Linked DNA regions of Kluyveromyces lactis. The protein of the gene in region 2 purifies or fractionates together with the protein of the main gene of each other region. This does not show direct contact. Links are inferred from orthologs where the notes say so. Each region holds a gene or a part of one and is shown on either strand. Other genes may lie near its edges.

Region 1 (6,507 bases), on a different chromosome or scaffold from region 2:
TATCGTTGTTATTCGATGTCATGTAGTGATCAAGCACCATTGTTAACAATGGTTTAAATGTGTAAAAGTTTGTCATAGTAGTACCCAGTGCAATGGCTTTTATATAAGCACCGCGATCATTTGAATTATCTAAAAACGTGTTCACGACACTTAAGAAAAATAATGGTGGCTCAGTTTCCTCTAAATGCCTATCATCTCTAATTGATCCAATCTTACCACTTCGCAGTCCATTTTCTTGTTCTTCTTCAAAGTCTTCCTCTTCAATTATCAGTGAGGAATCCAAGTCAGTACCTTTAGTCTTATTTTTGGATACAGGAAACAACTGGTAAACGTTTTGATTCTTGTATAAGACAAAAACAGTGAAATCTGGTTTACCTGGATGGTTCTCCACACTATTCGGTATCATCAAACTGGCCAAATGAGAACAAGTGGAATCACTCCCAATAGTTTTAAAACCAGGGATTGTCTTTGGATATTGATGCTTTATTATCGGCCCAGATTTGTTATCAAATTCTGCCGCTATTATAAATTGAACATTGGGGTTAGAGTGTGTGTGTTCATTTTGAGATTGTCGTAGGTGAAAGTTCAATCCTGTTTTTACCTTGGAAGAGTGTTTCATAACTGGTGAACGCGCGGTCTTTCCTCTTTAATTACAGAGTCAGTCCGTTTACCACCTGACCGTCGTTCGGAGATTTAACTTGCCAGTGAGACGTCTGTATCATTTCGCTGTAAAATAGCACGATTTTGACCCATCATCGTCTTTCTTTTTGAACCGATCAAATAAAATGAACCAAATAATATCGCTAACAGTGAAATAATCATGAAATTACCCGGACTGTAAATGGATTCAATTCGGCTTCTATTCGCTTATGACAGGAAGGCATAGAAGAATGTTTGGATACTAAGCGTTGTAAGATTCCCGCCACAGCCTACTTGGGTCTATCTGCGGAAGCGATCCATTTGAACATAAGATTGATCGAATAGCTGTCTATCTTATATATCAACGGATTTTACTTTTCAGTTGTTGCGGCCTTACAATTCACGAAATAAAGCTAAACGATGTTTGTTGGAAACAAATGAGTCCCCTCGACGAAATTATGGAGCATTATCTTTAGTCTTTGAAATGACTGTTATTCACAAAAATCTTTATCATGTCAGGAATGAAGTAAGTACACCGTTACATATGCAGCAGATCTTAGAAAATGACAATCGTTACCCTCTTTTGTTGATCGTGCTGGTTTTGATTTTCTTGAAAAGAATTGGACAAAAAGTTTGATATTTGATTTTTTTTGTATAAAAGGAGCCATAGATTTTTGCCCATTGGAATTTTTTTCCCTTTTTCCATGAAAGTTGTTCTTCAAATTTCTCTTTGTTTCTACTTCATAAGGCAAGCAACTTTATAAGTTATTTCCTTCGAATCAGCTACCCATCAGATTCTTTTTTTTACACTCTCATAAGCAATGTCTGCTCTAGATCAATCATTAGATGAAATTATTGGCTCAGCCAAGCATGCCAGAAGAAACAACAAGGCCGGGCCAAAGAAGGTTTCTAAGCAAGTCAACAAGAGCCGTACCAGAACAGGTGCCGGTCCTTCTAGAGTTCCAAAGAAGGCTGCTTCTGCTGCTGCCCTAGTGCCAGCTTTGCTAAGAGCTCCTATTTCTACTAGAGTTAATGTCGAGGGTTTGCCAAGAGACATTAACCAAGACGCTGTTAAAGTATGTCCCATTTTAGCCATGGCCTCTTAGTAGGTTCTTTTCTAATGAAAAGGACTGTCGAGATGCTACTGTACTGATTGCGAAAACAAATCGGATCAAACTGCAATAAGACTTGCGGTTAATTTAAGTTTACAACGGATATATCCTGTGGAATTCCATCCTTATGTTTACTATACGATCATACATTCCCGTGTATTTGATTAAGAAGAAACGGTCGATCGATACCTTTTTTGAGGTCTGATATTGATGTGTGAATAATTTATTTCAGAGTTAGTTTTTATTGAGCTAATGAAATATAACAAAACGAAATTAGCTATCCAATTGGCTGGGTTTCGCTTTTCAGCAAGCCTTCCTTTGTGATTTCTTTCCGTTTTTCTCCTCTAAGTTGACAGAACTTTTCATCAAAATTATGCACTGAACTTCGTTTATTTACGACATTTTATTTGATGGAGAAACGGTAGTGAATCACGATTGGGAAATGCCGAAAAGATGAAGTATATCTATTTTTTCTCGTCATATCTTCTATTCTTGTGACATTATGTGTCACTGGAGTTTCTGTTACCATTTATTACATTTGGCAATGCATCTATTTTTTAATGATGCCCAGTGTATTATTCTCTTTTTTCTAACTCTTTGCAAAGAACTGGGAATTTGAAGAAGATTACTTGGTGTACACCTTGTAGGAACAATTAAGTTTGACCTCTTCCTTGGTGTGTGTTTAGCTTGATGCCTCAATCTTCAAGATAGTGCGACATTTTTAGCAAGGTCGTCGTGTTTGACAACTTCAAAAAAATTGGCAAAAATTGAAACGCCACTGAAAAGCAAGTTTCAATGAATGTAATAAATCGAGATGGGTATGCTGGATTTGAAATCGATTTTCATTTGTCATTCTGCTATGAACATGTTCTATCTTGTCTGGTTGAGATCTCATCACTGACTCCAGATTTACTCTCCAAGAAAAAAAATAGAAAAGAGAAAAGTTATAGTATACTTACTTTTTGTTGGTTGTCATGTTAGATCCTACCTTCAAATCGAAACCTAATGAAACCCATTTGTGGTATATTTTACTGTTTAAGAGTTAACTTCATATCGTGACAGAATTGACCGGGTCGTACATGTATGATGAATTGTAAACATGAATGATTTCCTACAGGACTATTCATTGAAGACTCCGCTGTTTTCAGTTATCTATGAATAGTTTCACTAACAAAAATTTTGCTCCCTTATTATTACTAGGAATTTTTCAACCATCAAGTCGGTGGTGTCCAAAAAGCTTTGTTGAGTTACAACGAAAGGGGTAACTCCACTGGTATGGCCACTATTACCTTTAAGAACGCAGAACAAGCTAACTTAGCTGTAAAGAAATTCCACAACGCACCAATTGATGGTGGTAAATCCAAATTGAGATTGACGTTGATTGTCGATCCAAGCAGAAAGACATTATTGGACAGAATCCGCCCTGTACAGAATGCTCAGGCTGCCGCGCCAAACAAGAAGGCAGCTCCAACAAAGCCTCAACCTAAGAAGAAACCAGCCGGTCCAAACAAGAAAGCCATTGCTGCTAAGCAAAAGAAAAGAGCTAAGCCAGAAAAGAAGTCTTTGGAAGACTTAGACAAGGAAATGGCTGACTATTTTGAAGAATCCAAATAAGATATTGCGTTCTTGAAATTACTGGACTGAGAAATTATAAAGTCTTCCTTAATAACGAACGGATTGTCTCTGCTTTCGAATCTATTCGTTAGACATCCTAGAAGTTCAGTTCATTTGTTGTTTGTTTTATATTCCTCAATTTCAACCGGTGTGACTGCGTGGTTTCTCAATCAAAAAAATCCGTATCTTTCTTATGTGCTCGGCCTATCTTTTCTTACCTAGCTAAACTTTATTATAATATTGATATCAATAGTTTGTATTTTATTTCACTTTCTTTAAGCACTATTTACATGAGGAATCTTTCAGTAAAGAACAGGATATATTTCTAGATTGTTTCATTTAGTCATTGCAGTGTTTGTGTGTGTTGTTAATAAATAAGTGTGATGGGTAGGTTCGTGTATTGCCTTGCAGAATTAAAATCTTGCTTATTAATCATTCGTTACTTCTTCTATCCAAGAACCCTAATCTATCACCACGCTTTCTTGTATTGTAGGATAAACCGGCCCCTTCAAATTCACTTTTCCTTTTTATTTCCGTGGTTTCTTCTTCTTTCTTCATGGGGAACCCTGGTTTCACCAGAGCAGGGTTTGCGTAATAAGAATCTGCATCTTTCTTCTCATCCCCACTCAAATTCTGCGGGTCGAACTTGGAAACTTTAGCATCACGTACAACGGTCTTGACGATAACTATAGAAGCAGTAAGACCAATACACAAATACGCAAAGTTTCTACCAATATTTTGGAATGGGTTAGACATTTTTATTGAAAAGATTGTATCTACCAAGTTTGCTCTCTGATGCTAAATGCTAGAAACCAAAAGCCAAATAAAAATAAAAACTCAAAGTTGGTATATGGTTCGTCACTCAATCCGAATAGTTCCTTCTTCCGTTCAGGATCTATTTTTTTATCAACACGCTCTATGATGCTGTTCTCAATCTGTTTTTTATTTAACTGATTCCTCTACTACTTTCGCTCAGTATCTCTGATTCCTGCTCATATTTGAATTCAAATCTTTATTTTCCTTAGATTTCTTTCGCTGAGGAAAGGTTCGCCGTAACCCATTGCGGAAATAAAGAAAGAAAGAAAAAAAATGTTGACCTCATGGTGATTTCACCTTATTCCACACACCATTATCATACAGATTGTAATAACGTTAAGCAACTACCTGTTCATTTATTTATTTGTGCCTAGATATTGACCGAGTTCGAGAAGCTGCAACCTGCAACCTGCAACCTGCAAGAGAAGAGACTAGTATCTTCGGATTGGACGAATTAAGTAGACAAGAAAAATAGACCGTCTCTCAGCATGAATACTCCTAAATCTTTCTGGTATGTTAAGATGACACTGATACAGAATTTCTAACGCACGAGGTTGCTTTATACGCTCCGATCAATTTCATCACTTTACTAACCTTCAAAAAGCGGATGGATGTCTAGGGTCGACCTGGATATACACTCTCTTAAAAACCTTTCTTCTTAGGGGTGGCATGGCTCTAATGACTGCTATCGGTATGGGTTCTTTGTACGTTGCAAAGGGTCAAATGGATGAAAGAAAGGCGGGACATGCCAAGGGTTCTGCCAAATCTTGGGAAGAAATCGCCGAAGAGCATGGAATCGAAACGAAGAAGTCCGGTTCTGCCGTTGAAACTAAATGATGAAACACCATTCCTGTTTATATGCTTTTATATAATATTCTAAAGTTGATGATCCTTTTTGCTGCCCCAAACACTTGGCTGGCGCAACTGCTTCTATCAACTTCTCTCCTGTAAATCATAGACCGATCTTATTCATATCTCTATTTTTCTAACTACTTAAGATTCTGAATGTGCACAACTGAAAACTTACTTAGTCAAAAGCCTGAATTTTTAAAGATGTGAAATAATAACATTTATGTAATTTTGAAAAAAAGATTCCATACTCTGATTCACAGTGAGTCGCAGTAAGTCATCGCTCGCAAGACCATCCCAGAAGTGTGTATGAGCTATTTGTGAGATGTCAGAAATTAATCCTAACGATGTGGATGAATTAGCGCACGCCATTGCTGGATCTTTGGGTGGTGCAGCTTCAATCGCAGTGACCTACCCTTTAGTCACCATCACCACTAACCTTCAAACGAAGGAAAACGAGGCGAGACCTAAGCTAGAGACTATCAAGGAGATCTATAACAAGAATGGTATCATTGGATACTTTTTAGGTTTGGAAAGTGCTGTCTACGGGATGGCTACGACTAATTTCGTTTATTACTATTTCTACGAATGGTGCGCAAAGACTGCAAGAACATTGACAACGAAACAGTACTTAAGTACTTGGGAGTCGATCCTGGCCAGTACCATTGCTGGTTCGATGACTGCTGTTGCCAGTAATCCAATTTGGGTTGCTAACACCAGAATGACAGTTGCTAAGAGCAACCATTCGACCTTAAGAACAGTCATAGACATTGTGAAGACAGATGGTCCATTGACTCTTCTCAATGGGTTGAAGCCTGCTTTAGTTCTTGTTTCAAACCCTATCATTCAGTATACTGTCTACGAGCAATTGAAGAACCTTGTTTTGAGACTACAAAGGAAAAAAGTCTTGAGTCCAAGTTGGGCATTCTTGTTGGGGGCCATAGGTAAATTAGCAGCTACAGGAACCACGTATCCCTATATCACATTAAAGACTAGAATGCATTTGATGCAGAACGATCCAAAACATCAAAAATCGATGTGGTCGTTGATTGTCGAAATTGTGAAAAAAGATGGGGTCTCCGGACTTTATAATGGTGTTGCTGTTAAGTTGGTTCAAAGTATCATGACAGCAGCATTTTTATTCTTCTTCAAGGAAGGTTTCATTCAATGGTCTTTGAAATTTATCAAACTTCTGCGTTCAGTCACCAAAAGTAACAAGAAGAACACTTTGTCTATCTAATCTATTATATTATCCTCTATCGTAGTCTATTCTGAATTTTTGATTATTCTTTATATATTATGAGTGCATTTGGATGCTTCAGAGTCAACCTCAAAGTAAATAGGTTAATTTGCGAGAGGTACAAGTTTAAAACATTTTCTTCAGTGTTTCGTAAGTGTAAAATACAGTAGCATTAGCCGGTGCTGCTCTGATCAAAGTTATACCGAGACCACGATAAAAACCAGTAATGCCATGAGT
Region 2 (9,416 bases):
AATTTCGCATGATTTTCTTACAGTGTCATTAAACGAAGATGTCAAAATGGATTGCATTGCCCTAGGTTTGCATAAATTAGATTTTACTTATGATAAGTGGTTGTCTTTGTCCCAGAGAATTCTTACTTTATTAAATGTGGACCGATTTTATTCCGAAGACATATTTTGCTGTATGCTTTATCAAAGAATTTGCTGTTCCTTTTCTCCAAGAGAAAGCAACTTGTTACTTGATCAGCATCTTTTATTACATTCTGGTCAATTGCTTCAAACAGCTTTAGTTTTGGGATTGCATAAGGATCCTACTGATTATAAGTTAATGTTCAATCCGTCACTAATTCCTCAGAGGGTAATCAATTACAGAAGAAAGCTTTGGTTAGGCCTTTGTAATTCAATATTTCAAGAAACTTTGCCATTAGGGTTCACAGCTAAAATTGAACAATACCATGACTACTTTTTCAAAAATTTAGATTATACGAGCTTCATGGAGTCTGTTAGAAACTCTATGACGTCTTCCGGCAAATTTGATTACCAACTCATTAATTTGGCGATAAAAAAATACCAACTCGGACTACTTATGGCCAAGATTAATAAAGCTTGTACCGATTTTGTTCCTGCCGCTGTTTCTGAAATTCTATTCATGATTTCAAAGCTAGAAGCAGAGGTTTTGAAATTTGAAAGTTTAAAAGACTACCCTGGAGATACCCAAGCAACGATCAAACTACCATCCACTACCTGTACAATGGATATCGCGGAGGTTCTGCGTTGCGAAATTGTGATTATGAAGCTTGCAACAAGTTCGCTAATTCACAATGTACTTTGGTCTTTGTATTTGAAAGTCGAAGTCAAACTAAAATCGGAAGAGAATGCCACCTTTTATAGGCTGCATTCTACTCTATTTGAAATGATGGTTTTCAACTGTTTCAAGTTCTACAGTTTCCTTTCCGATCTTATGTTCAATAAATATGAAAAAGACACTGCTCAGTTCCGCTACGTACTTGCAAAGCACATTCAACAATCTTATTTGAGAGTTTCTTTATGTTTCCTCAGTATCTTACTCAAATTGGCATTGGTGGAAAAAGATTTGGAGATGACTGAACGACATGCAGCATCAACTGTTGTTGAAAACATCAACGCACCTACCGTATCTGTCTCGAAATTGCAGCTCGTGAAAGAACTATATGATCTTACTGAAAAATGTTTCATTTCCCTTGCAACTCAATCGAAGAAGTATGACCTATTAAAAACAAGCTTGTTTTATAATAAAACACAATGTTTATTTGCATATTTTATCCAAATCCTTCAAATGGACAGAATATTAGACGTTTCGACCAGGTTTTGGGACTTCAAGCTCTGCAATAAGCCAATTCCGCAGAAAGTAGTAACATCAATTGCCAGAAAATGGGGCCTTGATGTAGAACATGCAGAAACTATTAGAACTAATTTCTACCTTCACTCTTCGTTACATTTGATAGATGCGGATGTTTGGATTCACCTTCAAAAGAGATTGGTCAAGTTAAACCTACCATCAGCCAATTTATCATCAAATGCATTCGAAAAAGATCCTTTGTACTCGGCTGCTTCCTCGGTAGATGCACCAATGGATTTAAATCTTGACCTTTCAAACTTCTTCGATCTTGATGCCAATTTAGGTTTTCCTTCCTTCTCCTTCTAGTTATTCTTCATCTTACCCTTCAATAATATGTTCATGTAAATAGTAAATGATAATTGTAACAGTAAAATATCTAAATTGGAAACTGAACTTTGACTCTAACGCCCTGTATAAATCCCTACTATGTATCACCTTTGGGTTTATGTCTTCGTTTTCTGATCACATTGGAGACCCTTTCGTCATACTCTCGACGTAACTTTAAATTTGACACGCGAATTTCATGTCACTATTTAAGGGTTTAAAAAAGTTACCAATGGGTGAAAAAGCTACTCTTGTGAACATAAACAACAGTCACTGCATCACATAAACCTGGCATTCAGAAGAAGCTAGTACGAAGTTTGGTTTGTGATCTTCAAGTAGCAGTCAGCGGTATACTTGATTCTTCATGGTATTGGAGCTTGGAATTCCCACGGTGGCGAATTTGCCGCTTGAACAGCCATTATTTTGTACAGGCGATGACTCAATCTACAATGTTGCGAAACTAATGACTAGTAAAAGAAAGTACTGTGTTCTAGTCACCAGTGGTGAGCATTTGGAAGGTATTATCACTACCAAAGATCTAGCTTTCAAGGAAGGTTTGGTTGCTCGGGACGTATTATCGACAACTCCGGTTCTTACGCCCTCATCAATGCCGGTTACCAGCGCTCTCCTAATAATGGTCGAACAGAAAATTAGACATCTACCCATAATTGACCCTAATTCTAAGCAGATCGTTGGGATCTTAGACATTACGAAATGTTTCCACCAAGCAATGCGTAGGTTAGAAATCATGGCGCAAGACAGTGTGAAATTGAACAATGCCATTCAAGATGTTATCGAGAATGAAGCAACCATGACGAGACATAAATTGTTGCAAGACATAGCAACTTTGATAGAATCCATGGAGACGCCTGTCTTAGAGTCTATTTTGGACTCTGATGTGTACAACACAACTCCGCTATTTGCTAGTCCTACGACCACTGTCTCAAAAGCAATGAGCATGATGTCTGAGAATAAAAGTACTGCTATTTTAATACATGATTCTTCGACCAAATCTGACATCAGAAATAACAATGACTGCAATATAATAGGCATCTTCACTAGTAAAGATTTCGTTTGTCGAGTATTAGGTCAAGGAAATTCCGTCGATCCAGAGTCATGCACCTTGGCTAGAGTAATGACAACGAGGCCAAACTTTGCCTTCCAAAGTCTAGGTATACATTCAGCTCTTCGAATGATGTACGAGGGTCATTTTTTGAATTTACCTGTTATTGATGACACAGGAAATATTCTAGGTTTGATCAGTGTCCTTCAATTAACACATGCTGCGCTCCGTTGTCAATTTGCTACAACCTCAAAAAACGTTTCGTCACAGTCTGCTATTGAAGAACCTTATTTGAAGATAAATTCGGTTGACTCTCCCTTGGGTTCTTTGCTTGTAGAGAAAGATGTTGATGAAAACTACAGGACTGGATCAGCATCTGAGCTAGAAGTTCCTTCTTTATCTATAAATTATTTTTGGAAATCTTTTGATGCCTCTGATAATGAAAGTGCTTCTTCTAGTCAATTATCTTTGGTAGATTTAACACAAACAATAGGTAACTTTAGCTCCCACAAACAGTTACAACAATCGCAACTTCATTTGCAACAACAACATCAACAATATCCTTCACAATCACAGCAACCGATCCCAGAACAGTTTTCTGGAAGAAGAAGCTCCACATTATTACAAAAAAAATTCTTCGAAAATGGAAAACATACCAAATTCCGATTGAAAGTTACCGTCGTGAAGCCTAATAAGGATAATCAAGTTCTAGGCTCTATGAAATTCAAGACTCAGTCCGGAGTAAACTTTGAAAAAGACGTCTTAAATGAGATTGTAGCCAAAGTGAAAGAAACTTATGGAATCGAATCACCGTACTCCATTGAGTACATGGATATCGAGATAAAAACTAATGAAAAATTGCATCAAATTTATGACGAGTTCATTGTTATGCAGGGCTCCCGTCACTATATGCCTTTGCTTTTTATTCTGCATGATAAGCAGTCAGGTGTTTTCCACCACCTACGTCAGTTTTTTAAAACGATGGCAACTCCATTCACCGCAGTGTTTCATACTTCCTCATTGAAGATATACATGCAGGCATGTATAGTCTTCTTCGCTGGTTTTATGGTGGGAAAAGCTTTAAAATGAAACATTCGGGGAAGTTACTGGTTATCCTTGCCATATACCGATGTATATAGATTATACATTTCCACTCATAATTCTTTCTTATTAAATGAATAAACAATTGGCTGCCAAGAAAAAAGAAAAGAAGCACTAGAACATCTATCAGAAATACAAAGCAAATATGGAAATATATTCACATCAATTAACCGTTTCCTTCTTCTGCTATATTAAGAACACTGTCCAATGACAGATGACGACGATCTTGATATTACAGAGAGCACCACTATGTGTTACCCGCATATCACTATGGACGATGCACTATTAGTTTGACCTGCCAAATTTTTCTTCCTTCTCTGTTCCTGTGATTCCAAATTATACATGAAAGAACAATTCGTTCTAAGATCAGATATTTCAGATATATTGAAAATTGAATAGTAGTACATTTTATGTTACAGTTACTGGTTTTTGCTGAAGTTTTAGCATTGAACATAAGTTCGCCTTCGTTGCAATCAGTATATTTTGACGGTAGGAAAATTGAGCTTGTAAGCAATAATCTCTATTGAGGGAGAGAATCGAAAAGCTGATAGCAGTATAGTTTACTTTGTTTGTTCTTTGTTCTTCTACTATCCTTTTCCTTTGAATCATTTTTTGTGGTGGCTGATTCGAAACAATGTCAGTTCTACCGGATGAAGTGAACAGCACCTTGGTGAAGTTGCTACAGGGCTTTGCATCACCAGACAATGCGATTCGTTCGGCGGCAGAAGATGCTTTGAATAACAACTGGATTACACCGGAGCACATCGAAGTTTTGTTGATGTTTCTAGCGGAACAATCTGCATATTCTGATGATTTGACTACTGCAGGTTTGTCTGCAGTTTTGTTCCGTAAGCTAGCTTTGAGAGCGCCACCTTCATCTAAGACTATAATCATTGCCAAAAATATTACCCATATTTCGAAGGAAGCCTTGAAGCAAATTAGAGATACACTTTTGAAGGGTTTTATCTCCCAAAGACCCAACAATATTAGACACAAATTATCTGATGCAATTGCAGAATGTGCGTTAGAAGAATTACCTGAGTGGCCTCCGTTACTCCAAACGTTATTCGAAGCTATCAAAAACACAGATCCAAATTTCAGAGAATCTAGTTTCAGAATTTTCTCAAGTATGCCTCATCTAATCAATTCCATTGACATCAACCATGCTTTGCCTATCTTTGAGAGTGGATTCACGGATCCTAGCGATGAAGTCAAGATTGCAGCTGTTACAGCGTTTGTTGGGTACTTCAAACAGCTTCCAAAGAATAACTGGGCCAAACTAGGTGTTCTATTACCAAGTCTTTTGAACAGTTTGCCAAAGTTTTTGGATGACAGTAAAGATGAGGCCTTGGCCGCCGTATTCGAATCATTGATCGAATTAGTTGAGTTGGCTCCTAAACTCTTCAAAGATATGTTCGATCAAATTATCCAATTTGCAGATATGGTCATCAAGAATAAAGATTTAGAACCGAGTGCCAGAACGACTGCTTTGGAGTTGTTAACTGTCTTCAGTGAATGCGCCCCTCAGATGTGTAAAAATAATCAAAATTACGCCCAATCAGTGGTACTTGATACCCTTGTCATGATGACTGAAGTTTCCATCGATGATGACCAAGCAATCGAATGGCAAAATTCGAATGATGTAGAAGAAGATAATGAGGAAAATACCTACGATATGGCACGTCAAGCTTTGGATCGTGTTGCCTTGAAATTAAACGGAAAATACTTGGCCGCACCTTTATTCCAATTCTTACAACAAATGATCACATCTTCTGAATGGAGAGAGAGGTTCGCAGCATTGATGGCGTTATCATCTGCTGCAGAAGGTTGCCGTGATGTATTAATGATCGAGATAGATAAGATTTTGGAAATGGTTGTTCCACTGATCGATGATCCACATCCAAGAGTTCAATACGGTTGCTGTAATGTATTGGGTCAGATATCCACTGATTTCGCTCCTCTCATTCAAAGCACTTCGCATGAAAAAATTTTGCCTGCTTTAATCTCTAAGCTCACTTCAAGCTCTGTCGACAGAGTTCAGACCCATGCAGCGGCTGCCTTGGTGAACTTCTCCGAACAAGCTACGCAATCGATTATGGAACCTTACTTGGATAGTCTTTTAACTAACTTATTAAGCATGTTGCAAAGTTCCAAGCTGTACGTTCAAGAACAGGCCTTAACTACTATCGCATTTATCGCAGAAGCAGCCGAAAAGAAATTCATCAAATACTATGATACATTAATGCCATTATTGATAAACGTGTTGAGAACCGATACAGGTACTGAAAGCAGAGTCTTGAAGGGTAAGTGTATGGAATGTTCTACTCTTATTGCATTAGCTGTGGGCAAAGAAAAGTTTGCCTCCTACTCTCAAGAATTGATCCAGTTATTCATAACTTATCAAAATGAAGGTATTCAGGACGACGATCCTCTAAAGACTTACCTTGAACAAAGTTGGAGTAGAGTTTGCAGGATTCTTCGTGAGGATTTTGTTCCGTTATTGGATGTAGTTATTCCGCCACTACTTGAAACTGCCAAGGCTACCCAGGACGTTAGTTTAATTGAAGAAGAGGAAGCTGCAAACTACCAACAGTATACAGATTGGGATGTTGTGCAAATTCAAGGTAAGCACATCGCTATTCATACTTCAGTTTTAGATGATAAAGTGACTGCTATGGAGCTTCTACAAGTTTACGCCACTGTGTTGAAAAGTTTCTTTGCATCATACGTTAAGGAAATCCTTACAGAAGTTGCCGTCCCATCTATTGATTTCTACTTACATGATGGTGTTAGAGCTCGTGGTGCTACTTTAATTCCTGCTTTGTTTACCTCTTTGGTATCGGCTGTAGGACAGGACAACGATATCGTTTTACAATTATGGCAAATTGCATCTAATAAGCTAATTTCTGGAATTATTTCTGAACCGATGCCAGAAGTTACTAAGTCGTATCACTATGCTCTTGTTGATTGTTTGGGAATTGTCGGAAACAACGGATTAAATCAAGAGCAATTGTCACAATTTACACAAGGTGTGAACAATAACTTAACCGACGTCTACGAAAGAACAAAATCCCGTTACGATCAGGATGACGAATACAACGAAGATGTTGATGACGATCTTGATGAGTATACCGATGAAGATTTGCTTGACGAGATTAACAAATCTTTAGCTGCTGTTTTCAAATCAGCAGGTGTTTCTTATCTACAGCAGTTCCAGACTTTATGGCCAATAATACATTCATACTTGCAGGAGACTGAGGTATTCATTTTATTGTTCGCCTTGATTGCAATTGCTGATATGATAGAATACACTGGCGATAACTCTGCACCTTTCAAACAGCATTTCGTTCAGAAAATTAAGGAGTGCCTCACATTCCCTGAACCCTCCATTCGCCAGGGTACTGCATACCTACTCGGAGTATGTGCACAATATGCCCCCAACACCTACTCTGACATATGTTTGGGATCGTTGGAAACTTTATTCCAAATCGTCAACATGCCAGAATCCAGATCTGAAGATAACGTTAATTCCTCGGAAAATGCATCTTGCGCCATTGCAAAGATCTTGAGCAGTTACGGCTCCAGCATTCCAAACTTTGAACAGTATACTGCCAACTGGTTGAAGACTTTCCCCGTTATCCACGATGAAGAATGTGCCGCGTTCAATTATAGAATGTTGGCACAATTGATAGACCACAATTCGCCTGTGATTCAAGGTAACACAGCCGAAATCGTTGATTATGTGATACAAGCCTTACATCAAAAGTCTATCGGTGGAAAAAATGCTACTGCTGTGGTAGAATCTGCAAAAAAACTACTAAGTACTATCCCACAGGAACAAGCATCTGCTCTACTTCAACGATACCCACCGGAAATCATGCAAACCATACACAAATGGTTCGCTTGAATTATGATTCGTGGGTTTAATTTCCCAAGGCCAATTATCAGATATATGTACATGTTTAGCCCTCTATACTGATTTTTATGAATTAGCATATGAGTCTTCTTATACTGCATAGACATTTCTACTTATTGAACGGAATAGATTCAAGCTTGTATCAGTTTTGCTATACTATGCAACCCGCCTGGCACCAACAATTTCCATTATCATTATTCTTAATAGAGAACTCTTTTTTTCTTTTTCTTGAAATCCTGTGAAGAAAAAAATACTGAAAAGAATTGTTAAAGCGATGAGATGAGATGAGATGAAATGAGACTGAAAGTATTTGATAGCAAAAAGATTCATTGTGAACTGTCCCCATTTGGCAGAGCACACTTTTCATTATCATAATATAAATACATTATTCAGTAATTTCAAGATGGGTTTGGCAGCAGCAAGGAATAAACAAAGGTTTGGATTGGATCCAAGAAACACAACTTGGAGTAACAATACATCAAGATTTGGACACAAACATCTAGAGAAACTAGGATGGAAACCTGGTTCCGGTTTGGGATTAGTTCCAGATTCTACAACATCACATATCAAGGTTTCTATCAAAGATGACAATCTTGGGTTGGGAGCGAAACTCAAAAAGAAAGAGAAGCAAGATGAATTTGATAGTGGTGAATGTACGGGATTGGACGTCTTCCAAAGATTACTTGGAAGATTAAATGGTAATGAGCAGACAATTTCAGATGAATTGGATAAGCAAAGAACCGACAATATTATAAACGGGAAATGGGGGATACACTTTGTGAAGGGAGAAGTCCTTGCAAGTACATGGGATGCTGAAAATAAGCAACTCATAAGTTATAGTATGGGTAAGAAGAGACCGGTAGAGGGATCGTCTGATAGTGAGGTTAGCGATCGGAAGAAGACAAAGAAGGTAAAAAAAGAGAAGAAGGTTAAGAAGGTCAAAAAGGAGAAGAAAGAGAAGAAAGAGAAGAAGGACAAGAAGGAGAAGAAGGTTAAGAAAGAGAAGAAGGAAAAGAAAGAGAAGAAACTCAAGGATAAACATTCAAAAGATACCAACGAAATTACTCGAGACCAAATGCTGAAACCTAGAGATTCAGCTGCTGTTGTTCCAGATGCCGTATCTACTAGGCTCTCGGTCCGCGCGAAATGGATCAGACAAAAGCGGGCTGCAGTGATGGATGCTAAAGCTCTGAACGAAATATTTATGGTAACAGACTGATAGATAACATACGTATACTTTTATTTAAGATATCAAACTAATATTACACTGCATTCGACAGCAATGAAAAAGATGGTGCACACCATAAGCGCAGCAAAGGAGGTCCCTGATTTTCTCACTTCCAAGTTTGAAGCAGAAGAAGATGATTTCGATGATGATGAGGAAGAGGAAGAACTTGAGCTAGATCCACTGCTACTGCTGGTTCCAGAACTGGAACCTCCGGAGGCATTTGCAGTTGCTGATGATAGGACAGCATTACAGCTTGAGGCAGTGCTTGAAGCTGACACAAGTGTAGCTGAACCGCTGAACGAACAAGCAGATTCGTTTTTATCATTTTCTTCGTAATACTTGTTCAAAAGGTAGGAAAGTTTAGTTTTTGAGTCACAGAAAGAGTATGCCCCATATTTACCAGTTGTTGCATTGTTTG

What was found.
Region 1: the proteins of PSE1 (region 2) and YRA1 purify together in Saccharomyces cerevisiae (affinity purification with mass spectrometry; 4 studies listed by BioGRID). This does not show direct contact. The link is inferred for Kluyveromyces lactis from reciprocal best matches to the Saccharomyces cerevisiae genes PSE1 and YRA1.

Annotation. Positions count from the first base shown.
Region 1 is NC_006041.1:255,499-262,005, forward strand, and holds YRA1 (RNA-binding protein YRA1), read left to right. Parts: upstream 1-1,460; coding exon 1,461-1,715; intron 1,716-2,951; coding exon 2,952-3,365; downstream 3,366-6,507. Other genes in the region: AFI1 (Afi1p), read right to left, coding at 1-619; COI1 (Coi1p), read right to left, coding at 3,798-4,121; KLLA0_E02795g (uncharacterized protein), read left to right, coding at 4,851-5,018; KLLA0_E02817g (uncharacterized protein), read left to right, coding at 5,356-6,270; ORT1 (Ort1p), read right to left, coding at 6,397-6,507. UniProt on the Saccharomyces cerevisiae protein: RNA-binding RNA annealing protein. May have a role in pre-mRNA metabolism. Component the TREX complex, which operates in coupling transcription elongation to mRNA export.
Region 2 is NC_006039.1:1,221,475-1,230,890, reverse strand, and holds PSE1 (importin PSE1), read left to right. Parts: upstream 1-4,488; coding exon 4,489-7,761; downstream 7,762-9,416. Other genes in the region: KLLA0_C14212g (uncharacterized protein), read left to right, coding at 1-1,672; KLLA0_C14190g (CBS domain-containing protein), read left to right, coding at 2,055-3,842; PXR1 (telomerase inhibitor), read left to right, coding at 8,174-8,989; KLLA0_C14113g (uncharacterized protein), read right to left, coding at 9,022-9,416. UniProt on the Saccharomyces cerevisiae protein: Functions in nuclear protein import as nuclear transport receptor. Serves as receptor for classical and arginine/glycine-rich nuclear localization signals (cNLS and rg-NLS) in cargo substrates.